Arabidopsis thaliana: one gene and its partners. The protein of the gene in region 1 interacts with the protein of each later gene in a pairwise test. Each region holds a gene or a part of one and is shown on either strand. Other genes may lie near its edges.

Evidence for each region. The genes of interacting proteins can lie anywhere in the genome.
Region 2: the proteins of AT3G19070 (region 1) and SEP1 interact in a two-hybrid assay, tested with the Arabidopsis thaliana proteins (one large-scale study listed by BioGRID).
Region 3: the proteins of AT3G19070 (region 1) and TAC1 interact in a two-hybrid assay, tested with the Arabidopsis thaliana proteins (one large-scale study listed by BioGRID).

Annotation. Positions count from the first base shown.
Region 1 is NC_003074.8:6,591,982-6,596,116, reverse strand, and holds AT3G19070 (Homeodomain-like superfamily protein), read right to left. Parts: upstream 2,345-4,135; coding exon 2,176-2,344; intron 2,096-2,175; coding exon 1,352-2,095; intron 1,268-1,351; coding exon 1,140-1,267; downstream 1-1,139. Other genes in the region: AT3G19080 (SWIB complex BAF60b domain-containing protein), read right to left, coding at 1-35; AT3G19055 (uncharacterized protein), read right to left, coding at 3,175-3,226, 3,343-3,415, 3,497-3,621, 3,710-3,801.
Region 2 is NC_003076.8:5,150,277-5,156,120, forward strand, and holds SEP1 (K-box region and MADS-box transcription factor family protein), read right to left. Parts: upstream 3,978-5,844; 5' UTR 3,492-3,977; coding exon 3,307-3,491; intron 2,456-3,306; coding exon 2,374-2,455; intron 2,284-2,373; coding exon 2,222-2,283; intron 2,133-2,221; coding exon 2,033-2,132; intron 1,943-2,032; coding exon 1,859-1,942; intron 1,722-1,858; coding exon 1,573-1,721; intron 1,445-1,572; coding exon 1,318-1,444; 3' UTR 1,058-1,317; downstream 1-1,057. Other genes in the region: AT5G15790 (RING/U-box superfamily protein), read left to right, coding at 1-178, 266-495. UniProt on the Arabidopsis thaliana protein: Probable transcription factor. Functions with SEPALLATA2/AGL4 and SEPALLATA3/AGL9 to ensure proper development of petals, stamens and carpels, and to prevent the indeterminate growth of the flower meristem.
Region 3 is NC_003074.8:2,854,154-2,857,954, reverse strand, and holds TAC1 (telomerase activator1), read right to left. Parts: upstream 1,919-3,801; 5' UTR 1,815-1,918; coding exon 1,296-1,814; 3' UTR 1,058-1,295; downstream 1-1,057. UniProt on the Arabidopsis thaliana protein: Activation factor which mediates telomerase activity and potentiates responses to auxin through the regulation of BT2. Binds in vitro to the DNA sequence 5'-GACAGTGTTAC-3' of the BT2 promoter.

The sequences.
Region 1 (4,135 bases):
CGGAGTCGGGTCACGAGGTCCAAGTCGGAAACCATTTTTTCCGTTACTGAAGAAAACAAAAATACGAAGCGGCTGATGAAAGCCAAAAACGATTCTTTGAGGTTGAAAATGAGAGAGGGCATTTATGGAATTTACAAATCGTAACCTCGTCGTTTTGCTACTTCAACCTTTTTCCTTAATTATTACTACGCCTTAGATGTGTTCGATTACGACCATAGTTAGAAACTTATGTAATTATGATTACTTCAACCTTTTTCCTCGAATTAGGTGTGCACCAAAAAAATAAAAAATGCCTAGGTGTTCCATTACAAGTTACGACCATAGTTAGAATATATTTATGATAAAAATTAACACCTTTATTGCATTTTTGGTTATCATTTGCTTGGAATAAAAAAAAGAGTTGGATATTTCTCTTCTAGAAGTAATAGTTTCATTTTAGACCAAAAAAAAAAAAGAACTAGAAGTTTCATCACCCAAATATTTATTTAAAGATTGTAGTTTTGAGCAACTCATAATAATCTTTCTTCCCTGAGGTCATATCTGCCTAAGAAGATTAGACCACAATATGAACAAACATGAAAAACTTTTGATTCAACGAATCTAAATGTCAAGACATACCCTTATGGGGGGAGAGAGGCTGAGACTTATCTGTCAAAATTAAGAAAAGAAGGAGAAGCTAAACAAATTTTTCTACAGCCTGCACCAGCAATGGTGGTCTCTCTTAAGGTCCCTTACAATATAAAAAAAAAAAAAATAATTAAAATGGAAGGGACACAGGAGAGAAGGGCTCCAAAAACCCTTATATAAGGGACCTGAAGATTAAATGTACATGTGTAGGTTTTTTAGTTGTCAAACTATGTTAAAAAATTAAAATATTATTATTTTTTGGTTTTTTAGGGACTGTCATCATCCCACCCATTGGGGTTGCTCTAATAGATTGTGATAAATGATCACTCATGCGTACAGTAAGAATGTTATTATGGTTAACTTTTTTTTTTTTAATAACTCCAACATTAACATAAATTCTATTATGATATAGTAATTGTTTGTAATATGCAAGATTAACAACAAAAGAAAAAGAAACGTTCTATACTATCACTCTTTCTATTTAATCCTATCTCTCATCTTCAATATTTTCTTCACTCCAAGGCTAATTTGTCTGCAATAGCCTTTTGACGATCCCGCAAGACTTGTAAGTGGCTACGGATCTGGTCACCAGTGAGACCCTCTTCAGAAATTAGTTCGTTTATGGCTTTGGGTGTTGCACCTGAAAAAAAAAAAAAAAATTAGGAAAATAGTTAGGAGTTGAAAGAATAAACAAAATAAATAAAAAAATTATAAAGTTGCATACTGAATAATCCCCCAAGTCTGACAACTGCGTCATCAAACACTAGTTGAAGCCTATTTGTCCACACCAAGTCTGGGTTTCGGATTGGGTTTGGGATTGGGTTAGGGTTAGGATTAGGGTTAGGGTTTGGGAATAGAGCAGGTAGGCCTGGAGAGATCTGTGGTATTGGGTTTATGAAATTTGGTATTGTTGGTTCTTGGGCCTGCGGACGGAGAAACGGGTTAACAAACGGTGACGGAGAGGAGGATAAAGGTGACGGAAAGATGTTACTAAGCCGTGCTCGCTTAGATGATGATGATTCGGGTGGCTGAATAGAGGATGATGGTGACGACGGAAAGAATTCCCTCAAAGATGGTCGATCAGACGAATCGGGAGGTCGAACAGAGTATGGCATTGACGACGGAAAGAACGAAGATGTTGCGAGAGTTGAAGATGAAGATGGCTGATGAGAGTATGACACTGACGACGTAAAGAATTCCCTCAAAGATGCGGGTGGTTGAAGAGAGGAGGATGACATCGACGGTGGTTGAAGAGACGGTGACGATGATGTTGCGAGAGTTGAAGATGACGGTGGTTGATGAGAGTATGACACTGATGACCGAAAGAAGTCTATCAACGGTGCGGGTGGTTGAAGAGAGGATGATGACGATGGTGCGAGAGTTGACGATGACGGTGGTTGAAGAGAGGAGGATGACATCGATGGTGGTGGAAGAAAGTTCTGACGGAGATCCATAAGTAGAGCAATTTCTGCGTTTCCAAGACCCAACAAGATTTGAGAATGAGAGAGGAACAACTTTAAATTACAAGGTGAAGGAGAAGAAATTAACCTGCTTCTCTCGCGGTACTCCGATCTTGAATTATCTTCGCCGCATCTTCATCTTCATCTTCTTTCGTCTCTTCATCCAACTTTTTTAAATGCTCATCTATCTTCACGATTTTCTGAGAATGTGATTCAATAGAACTTAGCTCTTCAAGAAACTCATCAAGATTAGTCATGGCTTGCAACTTAAGAAATTTGATTCATCACGTTCTATATATATATAGGAGGAATAATTTGCAGATGGAATCACAAATTTACCCTCTCTAGAGAGAGCAAAAATACCCATACTGTTGAGAATTACTAAAAACCCACATGTTATGATGTTAACGCAGATATCAATATAAATGTTTGCTCTAGCAATCCAAGGAAGTGAGCTTTATGAAAATCGAATTCAGGCGTACAGAGAACTGATTACTTTCTTGGAAATACATGTTTCCAATAATTATACATCATGCTGCATGCGTGTGATTTTTCTTATTTTCTCCATTACTTTGCTAACTCTAAAATGGTCTCAAGTTACTTTGCTCTCAACTTTTAAAGCTATCAACTCCAGTATAAAATAAATTAATAAATATTATACAACTTAAGGTTATGTAACATACCAAGCAATTAGGACGTACATTAATTGGTATATTTCTCCTGATTTCATATTTGTAGCCTAACTAATAAAACTGCAATTATTTTATATTAAAAACAGCGTACACGGTACATCAATGCAGTTTCTAGCTTCGTGCATGGTGAAAGTTGTTTTTGCGGCCGATCTGATTTTCATAAAAAAAAAAAAAAGGATTTTCCACTATGAATCGGTTGCTACAAGCCTACAACTTTTCTTCTTAATATATGAAGCATTTATAATAATAAAAATAGGTACATGCAGATCAGATGATAAGATGTCCCATATATATAGATAATACCCTAGCTAGGTCGGGTTGATGTTGAAGAAAAAACAAAACCCAATTAACCGCGTTTATTGCATGTAGCATGAAGTTTATGTGATCATCAGTTCTCATAGATCCTCGTCAGCCTTCCTCTTCCTCATCTCCCCGAGTAGAGTTTGCCTTAAACTATTAAAGTAAAAGTAATCATTAAACGGTTGATAATGATCATAATTAATCATCTAAGTCGTCAATATCATTAAAAATTTCTCTAAAAAGTCGTCAATTGTTAAACTTACTTTTCTAAAACCTTACGCGCCTCCGCTCTTTTTATGGAGCGAATCCTAGCCCTCTCTTCGACAATCGCCTTGGCTACACGAATATGAAACACATAAAGATAAAAAAGGAGAATAAAATAGAAAGAATGATCAAATAGATACTCTGAATAAATACCTATCTTTAGATAGGCCACCTCCTCCTTAAGTTGTGCAACATATTCATCAATTCTGGATATTATTTCCGGAAATGATTCGATTTTTGAGATTTCTTGCTCGAACTCATTACAATCCTTCCAGCTCCTGGGGATTGAAAGCAAAGGGAAGCTTGGGAGAGAAGAAAGGATTTTAAATCAGAGTGGAAAAAACACATTAAAAACCTAGAAATTACCTCTTCTTAAAGTATCCTGGACGAGGATGACGAATTAAGAATAAATGTGAACGGGCCTGTCGGATTTCAAATGTGTAATGCGAGTGCACCATCTTGAGAACGAGATCTGTCGTCTCTCTATTATAGTCTTCTTCTCTTTTGCAACAAAGTTTACTTTTGTCGTTGAATTTAATGATAGGGATAAGATCAATAATATCAGTGTTATTTAAAAATACAAAGATTGTATTTATTGGAGTACTAGGATCTTTAGTAAAATCTAAACAAACTATAATTTAGATTTCAATACTGAAATTCTAAACAGAGTTTATATATTTTAAAGAAGCATTTAATGTATATATTTGTTTCCTTCGATAATTCTTAAAAACATTTAGAGAAAACGAAAATTGAACGCCATAACTATTAGTGATGATCATGATCACTGCTGAA
Region 2 (5,844 bases), on another chromosome or scaffold:
TCTTTCTCAGTGGAAGGAAGCAAATGGGCTAACAAGCTTATTATCTCTGGTGAAGATTCCAAAGAAGAGTTCTCTAGATCCTCTCGGAGGATTCTTCAGTCAAGGACAATGTCTACTAGTAACGAAGGCCTGTATATAACATCTGATGATGAAGATGTCTGTCCAACGTGTCTTGAAGGTATTCATTTTCATCTTTTTTTTTCTTTTTCTTGGATCAATGCATTTCAAAGAAGCTTAGTATCAGATTATTTCGTGTGTTTTGTAGAATACATATCAGAGAACCCGAAGATTGTTACAAAGTGTTCTCACCATTTCCACCTCAGTTGCATTTATGAATGGATGGAGAGAAGTGAAAACTGCCCTGTTTGTGGAAAGGTAAACACTTTTCATGTTCTTCCAAGCCAGTTTTCGGCTTCTCATTTACTAGTGTTTCAGAGTCAGACTCAGACACCATCACGCGTAAATAGACGAGTGATCCAGAGATCAATAGAATGAAAGATGTACAACAACCCTAGAAGCACATGCGTAAAATCTTTACTTGTCTTGTCTATGACAAATATGGCTAATCATTCTTCCTGAAACTCAGAACATTTGAATTATTTCTCATTCATGTTGACTAAAGAATATTTTTTTCTCTGCTGTGAATTCGTCTCATTTGCAGGTGATGGAGTTCCACGAAACACCGTAACTTGTTGCCATTGATCCTGTCTTGTACTGCCTAGACCGGACCTGGGGAGATTGACAAGGCAGCAGAGAGATGTGAATATATTTTTTAACAATATATGATATTGTATATGATGGGGAAATGAGGAAACGTCTCTCTGCACGTTTGGCTTATGGAGTTCTGAGGAAACCCTCTTGAGAGAAAACAACAGCAGCAGCAGAACAGATGCACACAGGAATCTGACATGTTTCTTAGGATTTGCCTTTGGCGCAGTGTTTTGTTCAAGGCATGAAACTTTTTACATCATTTTGTATGATTACTTTTAACCTTTTATGAATTTATGAATATATATGTGATGCTTGTATTTTGGCATATAGTTTACATTGGGTATTTGGGTCAAGGAGAGATCACATTGTAACCCAAATGTTTCTCATTACATGATAATAAACCAGTGTCATGGTTCAGTGTTAAAACAAGTTCCACACATTTGAATTCTTAATATAAGCAAGGATTCCCAAAAGATACAAATGTCTTGAAGATCCTCAGGACCATTATATATAGCCACTTATGTCTACAAATCCAAAGTCTTGTGTCTATACTTTTATATATATAAAAGATCTTTTGTTGGTGAGCTTTAACACAGCACATGACTCTCAGAGCATCCACCCCGGGATGTAACCGTTTCCCTGCTGCGCCTGAGCTTGGGTTGTCGCAGTTATTTGCTCTGAGCATACCGGATTATCATACCTGTCATCATCATCATCATCACCAAAACAGCAACTTAAAAGGTTCACACACATTGATGATCCTCTTTACACCAAGTAACTAAAGAACCTTATATAAGTACAATCTTAGTAGTGAAGTACACAAGCTGATTTGCAGATGATTGTTTAAGGCAAAGGATTTACCCCATTTGCAGAGTTGGATTGCATTCAAGAGGCTGGTATAGTCCCTGAGACTGAGCTTGATGATGCGCGTAGGTAACATTCTGTTCACCACCTTCCCATCCTCCTCCTCCTCCCATATGATGACTTCTCACACCAATCATATCATCCAGCTAAACATTTACATTTCACCAAAAGACTATAATCAGAAACAAGAAAACTAGAGATGTTTCCAAAAATGTTTAGAAACTTAAACTCTGTGAAAGAGATTGATCGCAAGGCACCAAATGCATTTATTCTGTAATTATACCTTCATTGCCAAAGCTCTATTGGTTTCAAGCAACATTTGCTCTTTATTTTGAAGATCCGAGAGCTGGTCAAGCATGTACTGTGTCTGCAAACAATCATCATACCACCATAGTAGTTATAATTAAACAACACAAATTAATCTCATTTGAATCATTGATTCCATGTATAAAGATACCTTGATGGACCGAACTTGCTTGAGAGAGCCGTCCAGTTGACGCTCAAGCTGCTCTAACTCCTTTGAATTCAAAGGTCCTAAATCCTCCCCAAGAAGATTTCTGCACCAACAAAAGCCACACACACCTACAAATATGAATCTACATGGATACAGAATTGAGTAAATATACGGAGGTAGACAGATATGTACCTCTGTTGACGTTGAAGGTTCTCATATCTACCCTTAAGCTTCAGATATTCTCTGTAGCTGTTCTGAAATATTTCACGAAAACAAACTTTTAAAAAAGATCTTTCTTGAAATGATATGATAGGAATCTAAAATAGTATTTGAATTAAGAACACCTCAAGTTCTTTGGCAGGTTTGTTGTTGACTTCAATGGATCCATAGCTGCATTTCTGGTACCGATCAAGTGTCTTGAGCATGCTGAAAATAACTCAAAAAGAGAGAATAAGAGTTTATTAAAAAGATCATACTTGACTTTGGAGATCTAAACCTATAAATCACCATAAAAAAAAAGCTCTTCAAGTTTTAAAGTATTCTTCCATCAAAATTGAAGATTGTTTCCATTATTTATCTGATTATATACGAGTTGATTTGGATTTGATTGTTTCAACTTTCAAACGTAAAGTTTCGTATTTATATTTACAAATATCAATAGTTCAATCCTATCATTTGCAAGCAATATCTTACGTTTTCGTTTGATTCACAAATTGTGATTTGAAAAAAGGAATTAATCGCTATATTTTCTTGAATGCATGTAAGCAAAACTATTTTAACATATAATTAAAAATCTATTAAACATTGTTTTTAAGAAAAAACAAACAATCAAAGCCTTCACAGATATACACGCGTTTGAAGTTTTAACCACCATAAAGTATGATGAACTAACAAATGGTTAATGCATGTAACCATATATTATCATTCTACGTTGGATACTTGTAATTTTCATAGAAATCTGTGAACAACTTTTAAGTTTCCAATCACACAGACATATATTAATTATATAAAACTTTTCAGATTGCATATCAGGATTTGGAATCTATTCGATTACAAAATTCACAGTTCTAAATCATTGACAACAAAAAAACCAGATCTTAAATTTCAAGAATTGGAAAAAAACCCTAGAAAATGAAATCAAGAAATCTAATTAACTCAACTTCGTAGAAATCAAGATCGTGTGATCTATATATAACAAGTCCTTGAGACAAAGATCTAAGCTCAGATCTAGCAAAAACTCAATCAAGAAACTGATAAAGAGTGAGAGAGTTGTTTACTTTGAGGAGCTGCAAAACTCATAGAGCTTTCCACGGTTGGAGAAGATGATGAGAGCAACTTCAGCATCACAGAGAACAGACAATTCATAAGCTTTCTTCAACAAACCGTTCCTACGCTTTGCAAACGTTACTTGTCTGTTGATTTTGTTCTCTATCCTCTTCAGCTCTACTCTTCCTCTTCCCATTTCTTTTTGTTACCTTAATTTCCACTTTTTATGTCTATACACAAATATGGGTATGTAATGTTTATCTATATACAGACACACAAAAACATAAGTTGGGTATCTCTTTTTCAGAGGAAAGATCTGATCTTTTTGAGTTTTTATGGTCTGGAGAATTGATGGTATTTGGAAAAAAGAAATTAACCCTAATTTCAAGAACAAAAGGTACTAGCTTAAGGAAGAAGAAGAGGAAACTTCTGTTTGTCTGATTTTTTATTTATAGGGTTATTGATTCTTTTTCCTCTCTTTAATTGTGTTTGGAAGTGTGTGGAGGTTGTGAAATCTTAATGAAAATTTTGTTTTGAATCAATGGAATCTATTGAGAGCAAAAGATAAGAAATGTGTGAGGGTGAGGTTAGGGTTTGGTGTGTTTTCTCATTTCTAGCCCATCTCTCTGCTTCTTTATTCTTCTTTACTTTCATTCCCACGCTCTCTTTAAGCACGTGTGATACAGTCACCAAATAATTGGCTCTTGTGATACAATTACCAATTAAACTTGTATATATATGTTTATATGTTATTTAAAGGATAAATTTTTATTTCGTATTACTTACTTTAGAGTTTTCATTATAGGGTTATTATTTAATTTGAACATCTATGTGTTTCTCCTCAGGTAGAATTCATGTTTGTGTATATATGGGTGTCTACTATTTATGGAATATTTATACAAAACATCTAAACATATCATTGCTTGAAAATTCTATGTTTATATCATAATAGCAAATTGTTTATGTTTAGTTATATATAACACAACAATAGTACTCTAAGAAAAACAGCATCATGCACGTTTGATGGTTGACTAGTAACTAGACACACGAGGCACAAAGGTTATCAGTTGATTAACATGTGTATGTATATACGGTCTTTCACTTATCACATTACAAACTTGAAAGTAAAATTTGTTTAGCGATATTAAGAAAGTTTATATATAGAGACCTCGTACTAGCTGGAAATGTATATCTAAAATGAAAGTACACTCCCTCTTACATACAGTTTAATATATTTTCAACATAAAACATATGTACATAGTACTAGCTTATTTTTTAACCAAAACTTTTGGGTTTGATAGTTTAACAACTCGGTCAAGAATCTCATATTTTCTTACTTCAAATAATTGCCAATATATTCTAGTTCTTTTTGTTTTTAAATTATACCTGGTAATTTTCTAACGAGAGTCTCATAATTGCAAGTTGTAGTAGTCTTGCAGCTGGATATGAAGCGCGTGAATTAAAACTAAATAATACTTACAATAAATGAAAGCAACGTATCATATCATTTTCTAGTTGTTTTCAGAAGCCGCAGAAAAGCATCTTCTACCTTAAAATGGGTTTCCATGTGTCGATGCCTTATTGGATCATACTTTCTTACTTTTTAATTCAGTTTAAAATAAATTGAAAAATGAGATAAACATTTAAGTGGTTCAATTATCATAAAAAACACTAAAACTGATAAAATAGCCACATAATATAGGTCATATCAAATAAATGAGAAATAATATTTGTATGCCTAAATCAAGTTATCCATGTTTGAAGGTGTTTGCAGTGAGGTATATATGTTTTTGTCTAATAAAGATTACAGTTATGATTATGTAACATAAATTAGATAATATTTACAGCTCGCGATACACTACAATTGAAACGTGGTTAATTAGTGAAACTGAAATTTGAAGAAGAGGATGAAATATGAATGATATTCGTTAAAATGATCTCTTAGATTGTATAGTCATTGTCCCCCATTGCCAAAAGATCAACCACTTACATAAAGTAAAACGCATCTTTAGTTAAAAGCTAACCAAAAGAGTGGAACATATTTATTTTTGGATTGCATTTGCGAATTTCATCAATATATGGTTTTGTTCAATTGGGAAATTTAAATAACTCCACTAAAATGTACAAAGTAATTTTTTTTCGACAAAGAATCTATGAAGCTAAAAAATCTACCCATAAGTCACTTTTAGCAGAAATACCACCATATAGACAAGGGATTATTGTTGATTTTGCCATTTTTTATAGAGATCTTTTGAAATTGCCATTTTTACTAAAATCTTACGGATAAGCCATTTTCTAAGATTTAAAAATATATGGATTTCGGACTTTTTTTGGTAAAAATACGTAGTTTACACAAAATACTAAACCCTAAGAACAACCACAACCGAGTAAACCCAAACATAATGAATAAAACGTATATTCATTCACGTAACCTGAAAAATGGCAAAATTCACAAACTATTAAAAAAAGGGCAAAATCCACAAATGCCATCCCAAAAAATGGCATTTTCATAATTGATTCTATAGACAATTATTTTTCTGCCTATTAAC
Region 3 (3,801 bases), 3.7 Mb from region 1:
AAAAAAAGGCAAAGAGATTCGTCAATAATGGAAGACCAGCGATGGAGACGATGCTCACAGGATTTAGGATCGTGTGCTGGACCTGCTGGTCTTCGTTGTCACTTGTTTATTTTTTAAACATTATCAAACCGGTTCAATTAGTAAACTAAACCAACCCAATGATCCGGTTGAAGTTGTTTTGTTCGTTACTGCCTCACTATTATCGGTTTACTATAATCGAATCCAAAATCCAATTAATTAAATCATATATCTCTGGTGGAAATTATCCAATTTTCCACGGCATCTCAAATAAAACCAATCTGAATTTAGATCCAAAGCGGATCTCAAACAAGTTCTCGAACCAAACCGGAACGTGGTTAAGACGTAAAAGGTCATCATTGGTGGCGTCACCAAGTTGCAGCCTTGAACCATTTGCTCTTTTCATTTTAAATCCTAACATGTTATAGAGCATATAATTATAATTATCATGCGCAAATCGGCATGTATCAATTTAGTTATATTTATCATGTGCAATTGTGCATGTATCAGTTTACATACATTATATTATCATGCAGATTATGGGAATCTTAGCGGTTCAAACGTCTTAAAGTACTGTATAACTACATATAGTTTGACTATACATAACTACTTATTTATGGCTATGATCGTAAATTTTAGTATAAATGCAATATTCACTGTTAGAATACGATATTCAAATTCGTTTTCAGAATTCAGAGAACAAAAAGTAGATAAAGTGACCTTGGTTTATGTTGTTTTGGTCAAATTTATCGTTTATAAGTTTGCTAGCTAATGTTATACTATTTGCTAACATATAATTAAATGTTGAGTGCTAATCTCGAATATAAGAGTCATAATTGGCAAATGCTTACTCGAAAATCTGAGGACGACTACCAATATATAACTCAACTGTAACAATATTTCTCAGTGAACAAGTTTGAATAGTCTCTACCATGACCAGATCAATAATGTTGAGCTAAGTTAAGCTTATTAGTTATTCATTTTCCCTAAACAACTATAAAGCAAACACCAAATATATATAATTTCTATATATATGTTTGTTTGTTTGGACGTGTATGTCATTTACAAAAGTTGTTGGTGAAATTAACCCAAGCAAGGAAACAAATATCAATACAAGGTACAACAACGATAATGGTAGCAATAAGATACAAATGCATACCTTACAATACAATTTGAGCCACGAATCCATTTGTAATAGACGGATTAGAGAGTTTGGTGTTTCATAGGGATTTTCCCATTGATACAATGCAATCAATATATGATTCATCGTTCAGAGACTATGTTGTCTTCTTCTTTACGACGCTTTGGCCTAACCGAAGCTCGAGATCCAATACTTCAATATCACGATGATGACTCGAACTCGAACCATCTATGCTAGCCTCCGTGACCTTTCCATGATCATTAGTATCAAGCTTGCTTTCTTGAACCCAAAACTCTAATTTCTGTTTAGGACTTATATCGTTATCAACATATTGATCGTGATCATCACATGTCAAAGCTTCTCCTTGTTGTTGTTGTTGTTCATTAAGGTCTAGAGACACAACTTCGGATGCATCACTCTCGGCGACGACATCATCCTTATTATCTTCCATAAGCTTTTGTCTGAGTTTAGCCCTGTCTCTTCTGTGGATGTTCATATGCCCTCCTAGTGCTTGAGCATTCGAGAAGCCCCTTATGCAGAAACTGCATACGTAAGATCTTGACTGGTTCAGGGAATCATCAACGCCTTGATGACTGTTTTTTGATATGCTATCGGAACAATCATCTGCGTTTTTAGGGTTTTTGATGTTTTCCATATATAGAATATATAGATTTCTTCCGTAGAATAAAGGAGAAGATGATCAAAGATTGTGAAAATTCCTCATAAGAGAAAGAAAGAATAGAAGAGAAGAGATCAGTGTTTTCCATCAAGAAATATGAATTGGTCAACTTGAAATTATTTATTTGTTTATTTTGTTTTGGCAAATATAAATTAATCAACACTCTAATTTTATTATCAAAATCTACCACGGCACCAAGACAAAACAAGAAAAGTGAAAACAACTGTTTCTATGTCATTACATGAATAATCTATTCTGTTATAGTTATAAATTATTTCCACAACTAAATATAAAACCTATAAACAGTATAGCAACTACCAAAAAATGATCAATAAAAATCTAACAATTTTTTCCATTTTACGATTAAAATACTTTCGTTTCTACAATTTTCATCATTATTTTTTTTATTTTTTTTATCAAACTACAATTTTCATCATTAAATATATAAATAGATGAAGTTATCGGACATATGATTTGTGATATATTTACTTTACTATGTGCAATTCTTACAAGATCGATGTAAGTAGTTGTATATGGTCACCAAAATATACAACGCATATTCAAGAAATTAATATTATTTTATGCTAACCACTTACATATGAGACAATAACAAAGATCAGCAGCTTTGCACGAACAAAAAAAAAAAGACAAATTAAGATCAGCAGCCTTTCAAGATTCAACTTTAGGACTACACAAAAAAAATTCAATGCTTAAATATATTTGATCATTACAATTTATTTCAGTAAAATTTGATTATTTATTTGTTTTTTTTTTTACTCTCAATAATTAGGTTTAGAGATTTCTTAAGTTTTTTATACTGAAAAAAAAACAGATACGCAGTTGACAAAAAAGGGTACAACACAGCATTTTGGCGTTTTGTTTTTGTCTCTGCACAATTGGTAGTTTGATACACATCACTAGCTTTGTTTTTGTTATTAGCATTATTTTAACATATGCTTTTCCTGAAATTATCAACAATTATTCCAGTGTTGGACATCTATGAAAACTGAATAAATCTACAAAATCAATTGACTGACTCGTTTTCAAAGCAAGATCCATAGTACTTTTGAATTTGTATGTACATCATTATACTATATATATAACTTAATTAATCTATGTTTTCTTTTTATGAGTCACCTAACTGAAATTTAATAAACGCAGTTAATTAATTTAATTGAATAGCAGAAATCACAAGTCTAAACATATTAGTCAAAGGCAATGAGCGACCTTTGAGCAATAGATAAAAGACATAAAACTAGGTCGTCGTGATTTTTTTTTATTCACTAGACAAAAAGGTAAATATACAGCGTATTAGTTAGAGTTACCAGTTTAATTAAGTATGAATAAAACGGATATATCACTAATTCAAACATACACAAGCGTCGTTGCCATTGTTTCGAGCATTCCTGAAATGAGTCATCAATTGAACTTTTCTAAATTCAAATTTTTAACTAGTGTGTATGTTGACGAAAAAAAACTTTAATATAATTAGTAATATTATATGATAATAATTTTAAGTCAGTAGTGTCATATAATATTACCAATTCATCATCTATGAGACTGACTCTATATATGTGTGGTGATATTCAGTCTTAAATATCTTATTAATGATGTTTAAACTTAGAAGAAATGGAGGATCAAAACCAACCTCTAGATGATGAGTAATCGTGTCTCCGAGTACGTGTATTGTAAGTAAGAACGAGGTAATCCGCATCCCGAGGACTAAAAGGTATACTAATACACATACGTATATGCGTATACAAATTTCCTGCGTAAATTAAGCTTTAAACCTCAGGATGCAGATTACCCGGTCCTCACCAATACTCATCATCGTCACCCCCCATAATGCGCGCAAGTTCTTGCGTGAGCATAGTTTATGTATCGTTCTTCTTCTAGTTTTTTTTGTTTGGTGAGAAGTCAGTAGGGAAATGTGAGAATTTATAACCCTCGTGAGGCTAAATAG